Danio rerio: one gene and its partner. The protein of the gene in region 1 interacts with the protein of each later gene in a biochemical or structural test. Links are inferred from orthologs where the notes say so. Each region holds a gene or a part of one and is shown on either strand. Other genes may lie near its edges.

Region 1 (7,541 bases):
CCTGCAAACATTATTAAATATAATATGCTGTAATAAATAAAAACATACCAAGTTATTGTGCTAAAACACTGAATCATTATTAACAGACTTTAATATAATGCTATAATATAATGTAACATCTTTAGTCATTGTTTAAAACTACAGCAATGAATCATTCTATATATATAGTTTGTGATATTTAAAACATTACATTAGAGATAACATTATAAATCAAGTAATGTAAAATAAATGTTTATTGTAATAAATTTCATTAATTAATAAAGTGACAGCATACAGTATTAGTTATAGTGATAAAAATATAATCTTACATTTAATATACAAAACACGGTATACTACGACATCTAACAAATTTCAATTTAATTAACAATACTTAATAAAAATAAATAAATAAATCAAATAGAATAATAATGGTTATTGTAATACATTCTATCAATTAATAATTGACCATGTAACATTAGTTATAGTGATAAAAATAGAAATAATCTTACATTTAATTTACAAAATACAGTATACTACAACATATAAAAATACTCTAAATCATTCAGATAATATTGAATTTATCTAATACTGCTAAATAAAACGACATAGCTGCAAGCTGCAATTAAAGGGGCCAAGCAGTCCAGCGGCCACATGCTGCAGAGAAATAAAATAAAATAAAAAATAAACAAAAAATAAAACAAACTAAATTAAAAAAAATAAAATACAAAAATAAAAAATGTAATAAAAAATTAAATAAAATTATATATATATATATATATATATATATATATATATATATATATATATAAAATTATATATATATATATATATATATATATATATATATATATTTTTTTTTTTTTAATAAAATAATAAAAAATTACATTAAAATATTCCTTGTATTATATTAAGAAAAATTATAATCATTGGGTGCTGTTCTGTTGTAAGAACTGTCTGCCATTGTGAATTCACTACTGTTTGCTAACCTCTCGAAAATCCTTGTGAGTATATGCAGAGCCCACTTCTTGCACTTCCACCAGATCAGCTCAGGTCGATCGTCCTCATCAGCTTCCAGAGTTTCCTGAAAACCCCCCCGCAAACACTCACTAAACCAAATCTACCGAAAAAGTAGAGCTCAACAATGAGAAATAACATTCCACAGACTTACAGCCGGGACGTCCCGATCCACAACTGTCCGTAGGATCTCCATCCAGTGCGTCATGACTGTGTTGTTAATCAGCTGTAGGGGGAACGAATACTGCAAAACACAAACACACAATTCTAAATTCAATTCATAAAAAAAATAATAATTCTAGCTTTTTCAAAGGATTCACATTTAACAATATTTCCTGTAAAGTCTCTCCAGATGAAAATCGTCACCTGATAATATTAAACATAGGGCATTCCAAAAGTACCTGTACAAGTGCATGGAAAATCTTGAGGATCTGCTTCTGGATGAGGACTGAGATGAATGTGGCATCAGACAGGAGTTGAGTGATGAGCTGCTGAAGCCGCGGCAGGAAGATCTGCATGGCTGCTAACAGCGGGTCCCGCTCCTCAGCCTTCTTAAACCTGACAAACACACAAAACACAAACATTCATTCATTTTCTTTTCGGCTTAGTCCCTTTATTAATGAGGGGTCGCCACGGCAGAATGAACCGCCAACTTATCCAGCATATGTTTTACGCAGCAGATGCCCTTCCAGCTGCAACCCATCTCTGGGAAACACCCATAAAACACAAACAGAAGGATCAAACTTCAAACATAGCAGGTCTAATTCAGAATATATATCTAGCAGTTCTGAGTTTGTGCAAAAACATTTTCAACTTCTCACTTACAAGATCATAGCTTGATATTTTGAGATTTAATATCCTGCAATAATGAGAAGAATCTTTTAAAAGAGTCTTTTATTCCCCTGGCGTACGAATGATTTCAGACATGACTATATACATACATTTTTTTAAATGTATAGCTGCGTCCCAAATCGCATGCTTATGCACTGTTCTACGCCATTTTGTAGTATAAATAGTGTGTTTACACTAAAAACTCTATAAATAGTTAAGTGCACTTTAATTACCTGGATGATGCACTCATTTAGCCGCTAAAATGAAGTGTGCAATGATGGACACTTCACGCACTCAACGACCGCAGTTTTGCTCACGTAGCGGAAGGGGCGGAGCTATCGGGCGCATATGTTGGATACCTTTATTTATTTTGGATAGTAAAAGCAAAATTCTCCTACGAGAGGGATCATAGCGCCTCCCGATGGAGAATGCGGTTATACTCACGGCAGGTATTATTTGATAATTCGGTTGTTTATTTCACTGAAAAGGCAACCGTCAAACATCATTAGGGAGACGGTTTGAATTTCCGCTTAGTAAAAAAACATTAGTGTGCCATTTGGGACGATACTACATACATATACTATCCTGTTGAGTGTGTAAGTGCATAAGTACATAGTGCATGAGTGCATAGTGTGCCATTTGGGACGCAGCTTATGTGTTTTTAACCTTGGATGGATGCAAATGTATTTTAGGACACCTTCATAACAATCACGGGAACTTTTACAACAACAAATCCTCAAGAGAGTCAAAAGTGTCGTGTTTCACTCACTCATAGTTTTTGACGAGCTGGTAAAGTGCGAGCAGACTGCCGTACCAGCTGCCACTGTTCTGCGACTGCAGATACAGGTTAATCTTGTCCACTACACCCGTCCACCGGCCAGGAAAATCATGCTTTATTATGGCCCGCAAGCATACTGTTAACTGAGCCCTGCCAAACAACAACAACAAAAAAAGAGAGTTAATTTTTAGGTTCTAACGACTGTCATTATGAAATGAAAACATTGTGACTTGCCTTATGGACTCAGGGCAACGAATAATGGCCTCCACCATGTTTTCTCGGATCTGTCCGCGGTCATTTTCATGGATGTTGAAGGGAAACACCACCTCTCCCAGTGTAGGCTCCCGGTCCTGCCAGTACTGACTCACCATGTTCTTCAGGTAGATGGCAGCTGGAGGATGAATGTGACGTCATTGGTTATTTCATCCAATCAAAATTGACCATTGGTAAAGGGGAAGATCTCGACCCTGAACGATTCAATTGGGAAGGGGATTGTGACTGGCTGTAGGAAAAGAGAGGTTCTTACCTGCCTGTCGCACGGGAAACTCCACCTGCTCCGACACTATGATCTGTAGAAGAGTTGGGGCGAAGTTGATGATCTTGTAGGACTGAAAAAAAAAGAGACATTTTTTTTTTTACAAGAGAATAATAGTTTTTATTTTTATAAGCAAAATCAATCTACAAAGCTCAGGGATTTCTCTTTATATACATGTTTTCTCAAATACCAATGCAACGTGGCACCAAAATTATTAAAATATTGTTGATCTATGATGGTTCAATTCACCAAAAGCCAATCATTCAATTCAGATAAGCCAAAATAGCACAAAGAAAGCACAGGATATTATTTTTTCTTTATAATAAGTATGACTAAGAACTTATTAGATGTCAGAAATGTAATGCAATGAACTAATAAAGTTAATTTCTGCCAAAATAAAAATGCAATTGCGGAAAACAGACACTGATGTCAAATAGACTGTGGATCTTAGAAGTTTGCAACTGTATACCATTGGAGAAAATCACATATTCTTTCAGAGGAAAAGATGAACTATTAAAAAAATTTGGAATCCATTTTTTTATTATTTTAAAACAGTACCACATGATTTGATTTGACTAAAAAACTAAAAGTTTATCTTCATTAATTAATCCTGTATCTCCTCCCTTTTTATTTATTTATTTTTATTTTATCTATTCATTTTTACATGCCGTGTGCGTGTGTGCTTTATTTCAGTTGTTTGCTGCTTAGTTTCGATGTTCTGTATTGTTATTATTTAAAAAAAGCAAAATAAATAAATATATAATTCAAAAATTTTATTGCACCATTGATCTCACAATTCAAACTTTTTTTCCCTCATTTGTAATTTTTGTATGTATGTATTTACGTAATCGAATTAAAAAATGATCTCATCTCAACTTTCCCAGTGATGAACTTGAAAAATTGTCACTTCAAGAATGTCAGCACTGAGATCAAATCTGACAATGAAAACTACATTTTGAGGTAACATTTTTGTGAATTTTTTACACAACTTTGACTAACCCAAAAAATTTCAGGTTATAATCTGGCAAATGAGATTTAATATCAATATTCATCACAATTCTGTGAAAAAAAATAATTGTTTCAGCATTGATTTCATTCATTTTCCTTTGGCTTAGTCCCTTATTCATCAGCAGAATGAACTACCAACTATTCCGGCATATGTCAATGATATTTGGTTTTTGGCCCTTCATATGAAAAACTTTGGGCTCCCCTGATGTAAACAACAAGCACATCCACTCTCTAACACACAAGCTCTTCTAAAACAGAACTGCCTTCAACAATGCCTCTGCAGAGTAGGAATTGCACAGAATTGCATCAGTGGAAGCTGCAGAAATAATGATTTACATGCAGGAGAATCAGGACACAATGAACAACCATGTCACATTATAACATCACATCCCCAAATTGACTAACAGGAAAACTATAAATGAAGACTGAGACACTTAAATTTTGGATATAACCTAAATTAAGTCATTTTATTCATGTAAAGCGACTATATTCATAATTTAGTCCACAAGGATCAATAGTCGGCATCTCATTCTGCTGTTGAACAATGATGCCGTTGATTCACTGCAACTAGTGGGCACCCTTAACAGTAAACAAAGCGTTAATAGGGACGAAAGCAGACTATTATTCAGCTTTATAAATTAAAAATCAGGCCACAAACACTGAAGGCATCTTTTAGCGCTTCTGTTCCCCAAAGAAACAACAAACTTCTCCAGACGGAAAACTGACCTGGTTGAGTTCATTCTCAGCCGCGAGCCTGAGATTGGGGTCTATGGTGCCCTTCAGAGCCTGTATGATTCGATTGGGATCCATGAGGGCCGAAGAGGTGGATGAATTTCAATAAACTTTGGACTATCGGACAGATGCGCGGACGATCTGATGCCTCAGATCTTACAGGGAGCCCTGCCCCAGTCTGCCGTCAAGCGACTGTCAGCGTCGCAAAAGAACAAAGCCAAAGCGGAGCGTTTGCAGCAGAGGCTGGCGTGACAAAAAATTAAAGGGACCTCATACACAATATAGTTCTTAAATATATCAATATAAAGAACTGTCCTTAGCTAATTTATTTATTTATTTTTATTGCAATAATAACAGTACATTACAACAAATACAAAACTGAAAGAAGTATGGTACAATCAATTGAAATATTACTTTTAGAAAAAAGTAGAATGTAAGAAATTTACTTAAATCATTTTATTTCATACACTTCTATATTATAGGGTATATGCACAAAGACTTTTATTTTCAGCGGGTGCAGGATTATATTTCCCCAAAACTGTCACGGTTACTGTTAAAAAATGAACAAATGCGTGAATAAAAATCAAACTTCACCTCAGTAAAGCTGGTTAGTGGAAAAGCACATTTACTTATGTTTTGTTATTAAACTAAATAAAAATTAGATTAGTGAAAAAGCAGTGCCAAAAACTGAAATAACCCGTTATCTTTTTACATTACACTTATGTTAACAAGCCCACAAGTGACTTTTCATTTTCAATTGTGCTGGCTGATCCTCGTACATCAATTGTTTTCATGTCTTTTTACACTTGAACATCTAAACGAATGCTCAGGTCTATTTAACCGACTATATTATTAATGCTGTAAAAGGTATTCCATTGCCAATTGGACTTTTTAGTGGCTGAACAACACTTCCATGCATATACCCCCATTCATAAACAAGAACACAGTCTACATCAGCTTTGCATGGCTAAAATAGTTTTAAAACATACCTGTCTAAAAGTAATATTTCAGCCATGGTGTCACCCTTCAGGTTATTGTTTTGAACTGCAAACGTAAGGCACTGACAGATAAAAAAATAAAAATAAAATAAATATATAATAATAAATAAATAAATGAATAAATACATTAAATAATAATAAATAATAAATAAAATAAATAATAATAAATAAATAAATAAATAAACTAATAAATAAATAATAACAAAATAATAATGAATGAATGAATAAATAAATAAATAAATTAATTAATAAATAATAAATAAAATAAATAATAATAAACAAACAATGAATAAATAAATAAATTAATTAATTAATAAATAATAAATAAAATAAATATTCAACAAATAATTTAAAAAATAATAAAAATAAATAAATAAATAAATATAAATAAATAAATACATAAATTAATTAATTAATAAATAATAAATAAAATAAGTAAATAATAATAAATAAATAAACTAATAAATAAATATTCAACAAATAAATTAAAAAATAATATAAATAAATAAATAAATAAATAAATAAATAAAAATAAATAAATAAATAAATAAATGAACATTTTAATAATTTAAATTCTCTCCTTCTTAAGAGAAACTTAAGGCACTGACAGATAAACTTGATGGAAACAGAAAAATCATCAGTAATGCACCATTTCCCCAATGCAATCTAAGTCAGTAGTCTTCTCCCTCATAGTTCATGTCCACAAGGAGGAGCTGGAAAACTAGTCGTTTTTCAAATAGGCTTTACGAGCCTGCAAATATCATAACAACATGAATTAAATGATTGATTTTGAACTGAAATAATAAAGATAATTTTGAGTCAAAATATGTATTTAAAGCATAAACAAATAGTAAAATAGTACTGCAAGACCTCTTGTCTCTTCAATCAGTGTTTACATTTCGACCATGTGATTTATGTATACTAATGTTACAGTTCAACACATTGGACATATTTTTTCTTACCCCTTAAGTTGGGAAGCTGATCGTCCATTAGATTCCATGCTTATCTGCTGCTCGAGACCATTTAAAGAAGATCACAGACGTAATTTAAAATATATAAAACTAAAAATGTATCCTGTCTCCATCGACACACTACTAGTGTGTTGTTTTCATACTGACACTGACTCCCTTCCACTCCACCAGGGGGCGTCAGCGGCGTTGACGTTCAGCGTGACAGTGACACCTTTAGAGCCTAATCAATATCAACAACATGACACTGATGACAGCCGCCTCGACACAACTATGTATATACGTTTAAAAGCTATTAAAGTACAGTTGCTGCAGATGACAGCTCAGTTACAGACTCTGTCACTCGACAGCATATATTTCAGCCCATCAATAACGTTAATAACAAACGACGCGCTGTGCTGTCAAGCATGAAGAATGTCACGCGACTCACCTGTAAGTATCTACACATAATTAGTGATTTTTAAAGTCGTTGGCGCTCATTATATATCCATTATATTATATATTATGTTATATATATCAGTTTTAAACTGTATTTAAATCATTGGCATGTCGAATAGGTGTTTTCATTTGTTTGCTGAAGTATGGGTGATGCTACTCTTTCCTTGTCAGTCATTCAAATATAACTTTAACCCTGGATAAATAGATATTTTTTGTGAAAATTATTGTGTATAAAGGTAGTCTTACCTTAACGAAGGTTT
Region 2 (7,025 bases), on another chromosome or scaffold:
CACACCTAATCTTTCTTTGTACACACGCCTGTTAAGGAGGAAAAGACAAAATGTAGACACTTAGGCTACGTTCACACTGCTAGGTTTAGTGCTCAAATCAGATTTTTTTTTTTGTGTATGGCTGTTGACGATGCTCTTATAAATGTGGCCAATTTCAGATTTGCAGGGTGAACAGATCCTAAAGTGACCCGCTTGCGCAAAAGTACATTACAGACAGCACAAAATGTCTAATTATGCACTTGTGATACTGTATGAAGTAAGCACGTTGTCAGACCATGCTTATATGATTATTGCCCTTTTCACAGACAACCATGGTGTGTTTCATGAACCGTAAATGATTGTTCTGCTACTACTAATGTGTATTCTGCCATTTGAAATCTAAAACAAGTCACTTGTGATTGAAATCACTGATCGTTTGTGATTTATGACAACAGCGGTGCACGTTTGTATGACCACCGGTGCAGTGAACTCATCAAGGGTTAATGAACAGAGTAAGACTAAACTGTAAAGGCGGAGTTGTTTTATCTCCATTTGCAGTTATTTAATTTTACTTCATTATAAACAGTAGACACGTGCAGAAGGGGGGTTTGGATGCTCGAGCACCTGCCCTTTTTTCTCTCGGAGAGAAAGTTCATCCTCCTTTGCACACAGAGTCCCTATTTGCAACACCCACGATGCTCTTCAGCTTCACGATCAACCCGCGCCTCAATCGTTAACAAACACCAGTTTTGCCTCCAAAATCTTTTTCAAAAAAACAACAAGCTTTCTGTGGTGCAGTAAACGCCCTGTGTGCCGTTCTACGATGCTGCTGAGGAGTACAGGATGTTTGCAGCACAGAATAATGACGCATGTTGCTCGAAGATTATGTAAAAGTCACAAGAAATCCGACATAACCGTTCACACTGCAGTCGCATTGCAAAACATCAGATCTGTGTCTAATTTAAGACTACATATGAAAGTGGCACAGATCTGACCTGAAAAGATCAGATTCCATGCGTTTGGGTTGTTCACACTGTCATTACCTGAGTAACATGAGGGGGAAAAAATCTAATTCGAGCCACATTTGGCTCAGTGTGAACGTAGCCTTATAGACAAAGTCAAGGCATAATCTGCATGACTAATAACCAAAAATAGTTGACAAGTAGTAGCTTTTTTTTCCCCAGAGATGGGTTTCGACTGGAAGGGCATGCGCTGCGTAAAAGCTTGCTGGATAAGTAGGCGGTTCATTCCGCTGTGGCGACCCGAATTAATAAAGGGACTAAGCCAAAAAGAAAATGAACCTGAAAACCTGAAAAAATATGCAGCTAAGTCACAAAATCTGTCGCAATTCAGTTTGCAAAAAATTCTAACTGCATTTCGTTTCCTCTCACTCCACAAATCCTTACAATTTAACCTTTTTAAATCAGCAACAACCTAAATGTTTGGATTGGTGGCTTGATGTTATTTATTTATTCCCACATCAGCAACGTATGGTTAATTCATGGCAAAATGGATATAGATAGAAAATATTACATGATAAAAACTAATTCATATTACAACAAAAGTGACTCAGACAAATATTTAGAATATAAATAAATAAAATTCACACAAAAATATATTCAAAGTTAAATATGATTTTTCAGTTCAATTTTTGATAAATAATTTAACACTCTGCTTGGTGTTACCTTTTTGGAAAATATCTATCACAGTACTTTCCTTATAAAAATGTTGTCTAATGGTATTTAAACTTTCACATTCCAACAAAATATGTTTCATGGTAAGAGTAAATACAAATGAGTCAACTTAGAATGTCCAATTTGACATGTAGTATTGACAGTTTGTTCATGCCTGGTCTAACAAATTAGAATTTGCAAAGTGTTTTTCATTTATTTTCATGTAAGGTGTCTTGATGTTAAATGCATTATTTAGAATATCTATAATATTTCATATGATTGGAAAAATTTCACAACAGTATGTACAAATAATAACATTTAATTTTAGCATTAAAAAAATCATTTCAGTTTCATGTACAGTATAAAAGTGTAATGTTTACCCTATGTGTACGATGGCATCTTTGTTCTCGTAGTCTGTCGTCCATATTGCGATTTTGTCTCCCTTTGTTCGGATGTTAACGACAGCACCACAGACATCATCACTGTGGTCATCAAACGCTTCTCCAACAAGGCACAAAAGCTAAAATAATAAATGAGAAAGAACATTCTTTAGTCTATATATAAACACACACGTATATGTTCTAATATTACATTTGAATATTTGAGCTCATAAAAAGGAAATTAGGTATACTGAGAATAACGTTGTTTTAATCAAGTGATTAGTGATTGTTAAGCTATTTTAGTCAATATTTAAAGTGGATCAAATCTTTTACATTGAAATAGAATATCAATATTTGGTAATAAAACAAAAAAATTTAATTTTATCAAAAAAATCTAATTTATTATTATTTAATAATTATAAGCGATGTAGGAACATTTATTGTGATTAATCGCATCAAAAATACACGTTTGTTTTAACATGTCATATGTGTGAATTTTATATATTTATTATGTATATTTGATAGAAACAAAGCTCTACAAAACATTTTTATTACATGGATATTTAAATTTATACACAATTAGTATCATATACACATTTTATATGGAAATATAAATACACATTTTCTCAAATATATGCATGCCTGTGTGTATTTATATGTACATAATAAACGTACACAGTACACACCTAAATCAAAACAAACTTTTATTTTGGATGAGATTCATTTTTGCTCACCACTAATAATCATACAACAACAGGATTTTGGATCCACTTCAAATGCTGACTACTGTATATATTCACGATTAGCCTATGCCTCATATCCTGTTTTTATTGGTTGAAAATATAAAATGTGTAAGGTTCACTCATATTACAGTCAACGACATAACAAAATACGAAAAGATATTTAAAATTCATAATAAAACTTTTTCAGTAACTATTGGTGATTTTAGCACAGTGAAATCAGCAGCTAATATGGACTAGGGAGAATTTGGACTTACTGTTTCCAGCCAGAAGCGGTCCAGGTCAGCTCTGCGCTGCTGTTTGGAGAGGGTGATCAGCCAGCGGCCACCCCGCTTGTTTCTCTCATCTTCCCACATGGGCTCAATGCCATCCTATCACAAAAACACAAGAGCACAGACTCATTTTCATGGATTCAACAAAACTATCATACAGTTATTCTGCTTTATCATGTCTTACCTTGAAAAGGGAGTAATCACATCCTGACATTAAGTTACTTGATAACTGAATGTGATTGTATAACCTGAAAATATAACAGCAATACTTGTTAATGGCTTGTTGTAAGATACAACAATTTACAAATCTGAAGTCTTAGGGTTAAAAAAAATAAAATAAAAATAGAGAGAAAATCCACATTAAAGTTGCTCAAATTTGATTATCGAGACGGAAATGCATATTACTAAGCAAAAATTAAGTTTGAATAGATTTACAGACATACATTTACAAATCTTTATACAAAATTCTCCTGATTTTTGCCATAGAAATGACTCGTAGTGTAATTTTTGGCCATTCCAAAAAACTATACCCTTACAACAGAAGACTGATTTTGTTGTCCAGGGACTCACACAGACATAAATGTATTTTTATTATGATTTTTAAGTCACTGTTTTGTGCATTGGTTGTACTAAAATAGGATAACAGCTTTTAACAATGGAAAAAAACAATATTGTTCCCATATTGTACATTATTGCAGGGTCATATTCTCAGGCATTCTCTGTCTAAAATGTTTTTGTTTATAAAGCCTTTGCTTCCAGAGTTTTCTATTGGCCAGTCAGAAATACTTCACCATTATCACCAGGATTCATTTTAAAGGTACAATTCACTCTTGAGGGGATGTAAATAGTGAGTAAATTAAAATTTTTGGGTAAACTATCCATTTATGGTAGATTGGAGTCTAATTTCTGTTAAATACTTACAATATACAATATTTGTTGTGGTAGGCTATGAGCTTTAATAACATATACATTTATAAACTTATAACAGACTTAAAAAAGAAAACATAAAACGCAACAGATGGTCTTTTTTATCATATGTTTTAATATTATCAATCATGTTATTTGAGTTGCTTCAATTGTGTCAAGTTAATACTTACGCCCAGAAGTCCTCCACGGTGTCAAACTTTGAGATGAGACGGAGATTAGCTTGCCATGTTTTGCTTTTGTCATTTTTAAAGAACCAAAGAGCCCATCTGAGGAAAAAAAAGGGGGGGGCACGATAACTCCTCTAGATATTTTGCCATCGTATCACATCAAAATACATAAAACATGTGGCCTGGGTGGCATTACCTGTTCTGCAGTGGATGTTTAATGTAATCTTCAAGACTCACGATCTGTTGCTCATTTTCCTCATTTTTTTCTTCTGAATTTGATGGATTTGTTGAAGTTTCCTACAGAAATAGAAAACAACAACTGTTATATTAACAAAATATGCATCTAAAGCTCTGCATACTGAATGAGAGACTTTTATGGGAAAATAATCCATATTTTGCCATTTTAAAAACTATTGTAAAAAGCAATATTTTAAGTCCCCATAACATTTTTTTTCATTTGTTGAATTACTGACAAACTGTTTCACATTCAATATTTTTACCAATATTTTTTACTATTTTCATGCCTGCCATGAGTGGAAATAAATACTATAATGAAATGTGAATGGAAATAAATTAGAAGACTCAGTTAGCTAATTAATTAACATGTTTTTATTTATTACTTATATAGTCTATGCCAGTGGTTCTCAAACTTTTTTCATCAAGTACCACCTCAGAAAAAATTGTCCCTCCAAGTACCACCATTTAACCAGTATTGAAATACAGTAGCGTAGTAGGCCTAATTAAGCAGCTACAGTTCTGCAGTTTAAAAAAAAAAAGTTTGAACATTAACACTGCTGTGCTTATGTGTAAAAAAACAAATAAATAAAATTTCAATGTTTAAATTAAAATGTAATTTTAAAAGTTAATTAAAAATGGTAGGCTACTGTTCTTAAAAAGTAAAGAAAAAACACCTGTACTTAAATGTAAAGTGTTCACCTGTAGTATAAAAGCCTGGAAATGCTGCTTGGACCTCATAAATATAGGCTATATGTCATCATATTCATATACGAGTCATTTTTTATAAATATTTAAATATCTGTTGCATGTAGATATGGCATATCGGATTACTCTGCGTACCACTAGAAGGCAGCCCGCGTACCACAGTTTGAGAACCACTGGTCTATGCAGTTTTTTGTTTTAAAATGAGAAAACGCTATTAAGAGAGCAATCAGATTTTTTTTTTTTTTTTTTTTGTATTGTTAATGACTTTCTAAACGGGTGACAAAAGCCCCCACGAGTGAGCAATGGCCCTAACAAAAAAAAAAAAAAAAATGAACAAAAAATACAAATAATGAAAATAATAAGAAAATTACTCTGGCTTTCCACTTTCAAAAGCATTCTCTTTCAGATGAAACATGTTATAATGGTATATGCATAAATATTAGAATTTATTAACAAAATCTAGTCCTAAATGAGTCGAAGAAATAAAAAAAGGACTTAAATTTTTTCAAAAGCTTTTTGGCACTAATGTAAATAACATTAAACATAAATAACTAGCATTTTCATATTGAAGCACTAGCAAAGTTTTGTCCTAGTACTAAAAACTAAGCCAGGTCAAACTCCCTGGAATGTATTATCAGGCTTAAAGTGAGCACTATTACTTACTAATACTTTTCCATTAGCTCTGCCTAATACACACTACATTACCAGACAAGGCATTGGCCGGTATATGATTCTGACGGTGTAATAACCTTGGATAAAAATATCATGGTTTCCAGGTATCACGGTATTTCGATTACTGCTTTAATTTTTTTTTCCTTTTTGAAAACAATATATTTTATTTTTTGAAAGATTTTTTACAAATCTGGAGCAGTAAACATGTCAAGATATATAATGAAAATGAATCATAGACATGAATCTTTGGATATCTTTCCAGCTTGAGAAACTGTTGTCTTCAAAAACAAACAAAAAGTAAATAAAAAATCTTACACGGTGCGGTATTACAGAAAATTTTGACAGTTTTAAAACCTTGACTTTTCCAAACCGTGGTATACCTTGAAAACGGTGATCGTCACCTGCCTAGATCACACTGTATACGCTACAAAATACTGAGGTAAAGTTGGATTTATATCCGCACATTCGTTCATTTAATACAGTCCTTGACTACTAATATAAAGTCCCCATTTAGAATTGGCAAATAATACTTTTCTGAAATTATATTAAGAAAATCCAAATATGCTAATATAAAAAACTTTTTTACCTCAATTACAAAAATATATAAAATAATCTAATTAAATAAACAGACTTATGGCACCATTTTAGTTTCAGAAACTCTGAATAACCTCAAAACAGCATTTCAACAAAATCTTGAGGGTGAATAAATAAAATGGGTATAAATACTTAAAAAAATAACAAGTAAATTTCTTTATGGGTGCTACTAGATGAATAATTTAACCTAATATGTTTTGTTCAAAAGGTTATTTAGTTAAAAAGTTCTCAAAAGCTGCTTATATACCCTAATGAAAGAAAACTGATAGAGGTTAAGTTGGTTTAAATTCACACATTTATTCATTTAGCAGTGTCTATATTGGTTACCATATTACATTGAATATTCAATCGGAATTAGCATGCACGTATGACTTCTAAACAACATTAACACTATTTAATTCACTGTGAACAATGTTGTGCTTTGATAGTTTAACTGCTGATTTCCCTATTTAGAATTTGCAAATAATACGTTTCTGAAATTATATAAAGAAAGTCCAAATATGTAAATATAAAAACAGTTTTACCTTAATTACAAAAATATATCAAATAGTCTAATTAAATAAACAGACTTATGACACCATTTTAGTTCCAGAAACTGAATAACTTCAAAACAACATTTCAACAAAATCCTGATGGTGAATAAAAAAATTGGTATAAATACTTAAAACAATAACAAGTA

What was found.
Region 2: the proteins of ipo8 (region 1) and eif4ea form a complex in vitro, tested with the Homo sapiens proteins (2 studies listed by BioGRID and IntAct, with this or other methods). The link is inferred for Danio rerio from reciprocal best matches to the Homo sapiens genes IPO8 and EIF4E.

Annotation. Positions count from the first base shown.
Region 1 is NC_133179.1:9,922,251-9,929,791, reverse strand, and holds the start of ipo8 (importin-8), read right to left. Parts: upstream 5,013-7,541; 5' UTR 4,956-5,012; coding exon 4,872-4,955; intron 3,211-4,871; coding exon 3,129-3,210; intron 2,994-3,128; coding exon 2,837-2,993; intron 2,753-2,836; coding exon 2,594-2,752; intron 1,552-2,593; coding exon 1,395-1,551; intron 1,238-1,394; coding exon 1,148-1,237; intron 1,061-1,147; coding exon 966-1,060; intron 1-965. UniProt on the Homo sapiens protein: Involved in nuclear protein import, either by acting as autonomous nuclear transport receptor or as an adapter-like protein in association with the importin-beta subunit KPNB1.
Region 2 is NC_133189.1:48,174,148-48,181,172, forward strand, and holds part of eif4ea (eukaryotic translation initiation factor 4E-1A), read right to left. Parts: intron 4,436-7,025; coding exon 4,335-4,435; intron 4,238-4,334; coding exon 4,142-4,237; intron 3,293-4,141; coding exon 3,229-3,292; intron 3,144-3,228; coding exon 3,030-3,143; intron 2,173-3,029; coding exon 2,033-2,172; intron 29-2,032; coding exon 1-28. UniProt on the Homo sapiens protein: Acts in the cytoplasm to initiate and regulate protein synthesis and is required in the nucleus for export of a subset of mRNAs from the nucleus to the cytoplasm which promotes processes such as RNA capping, processing and splicing.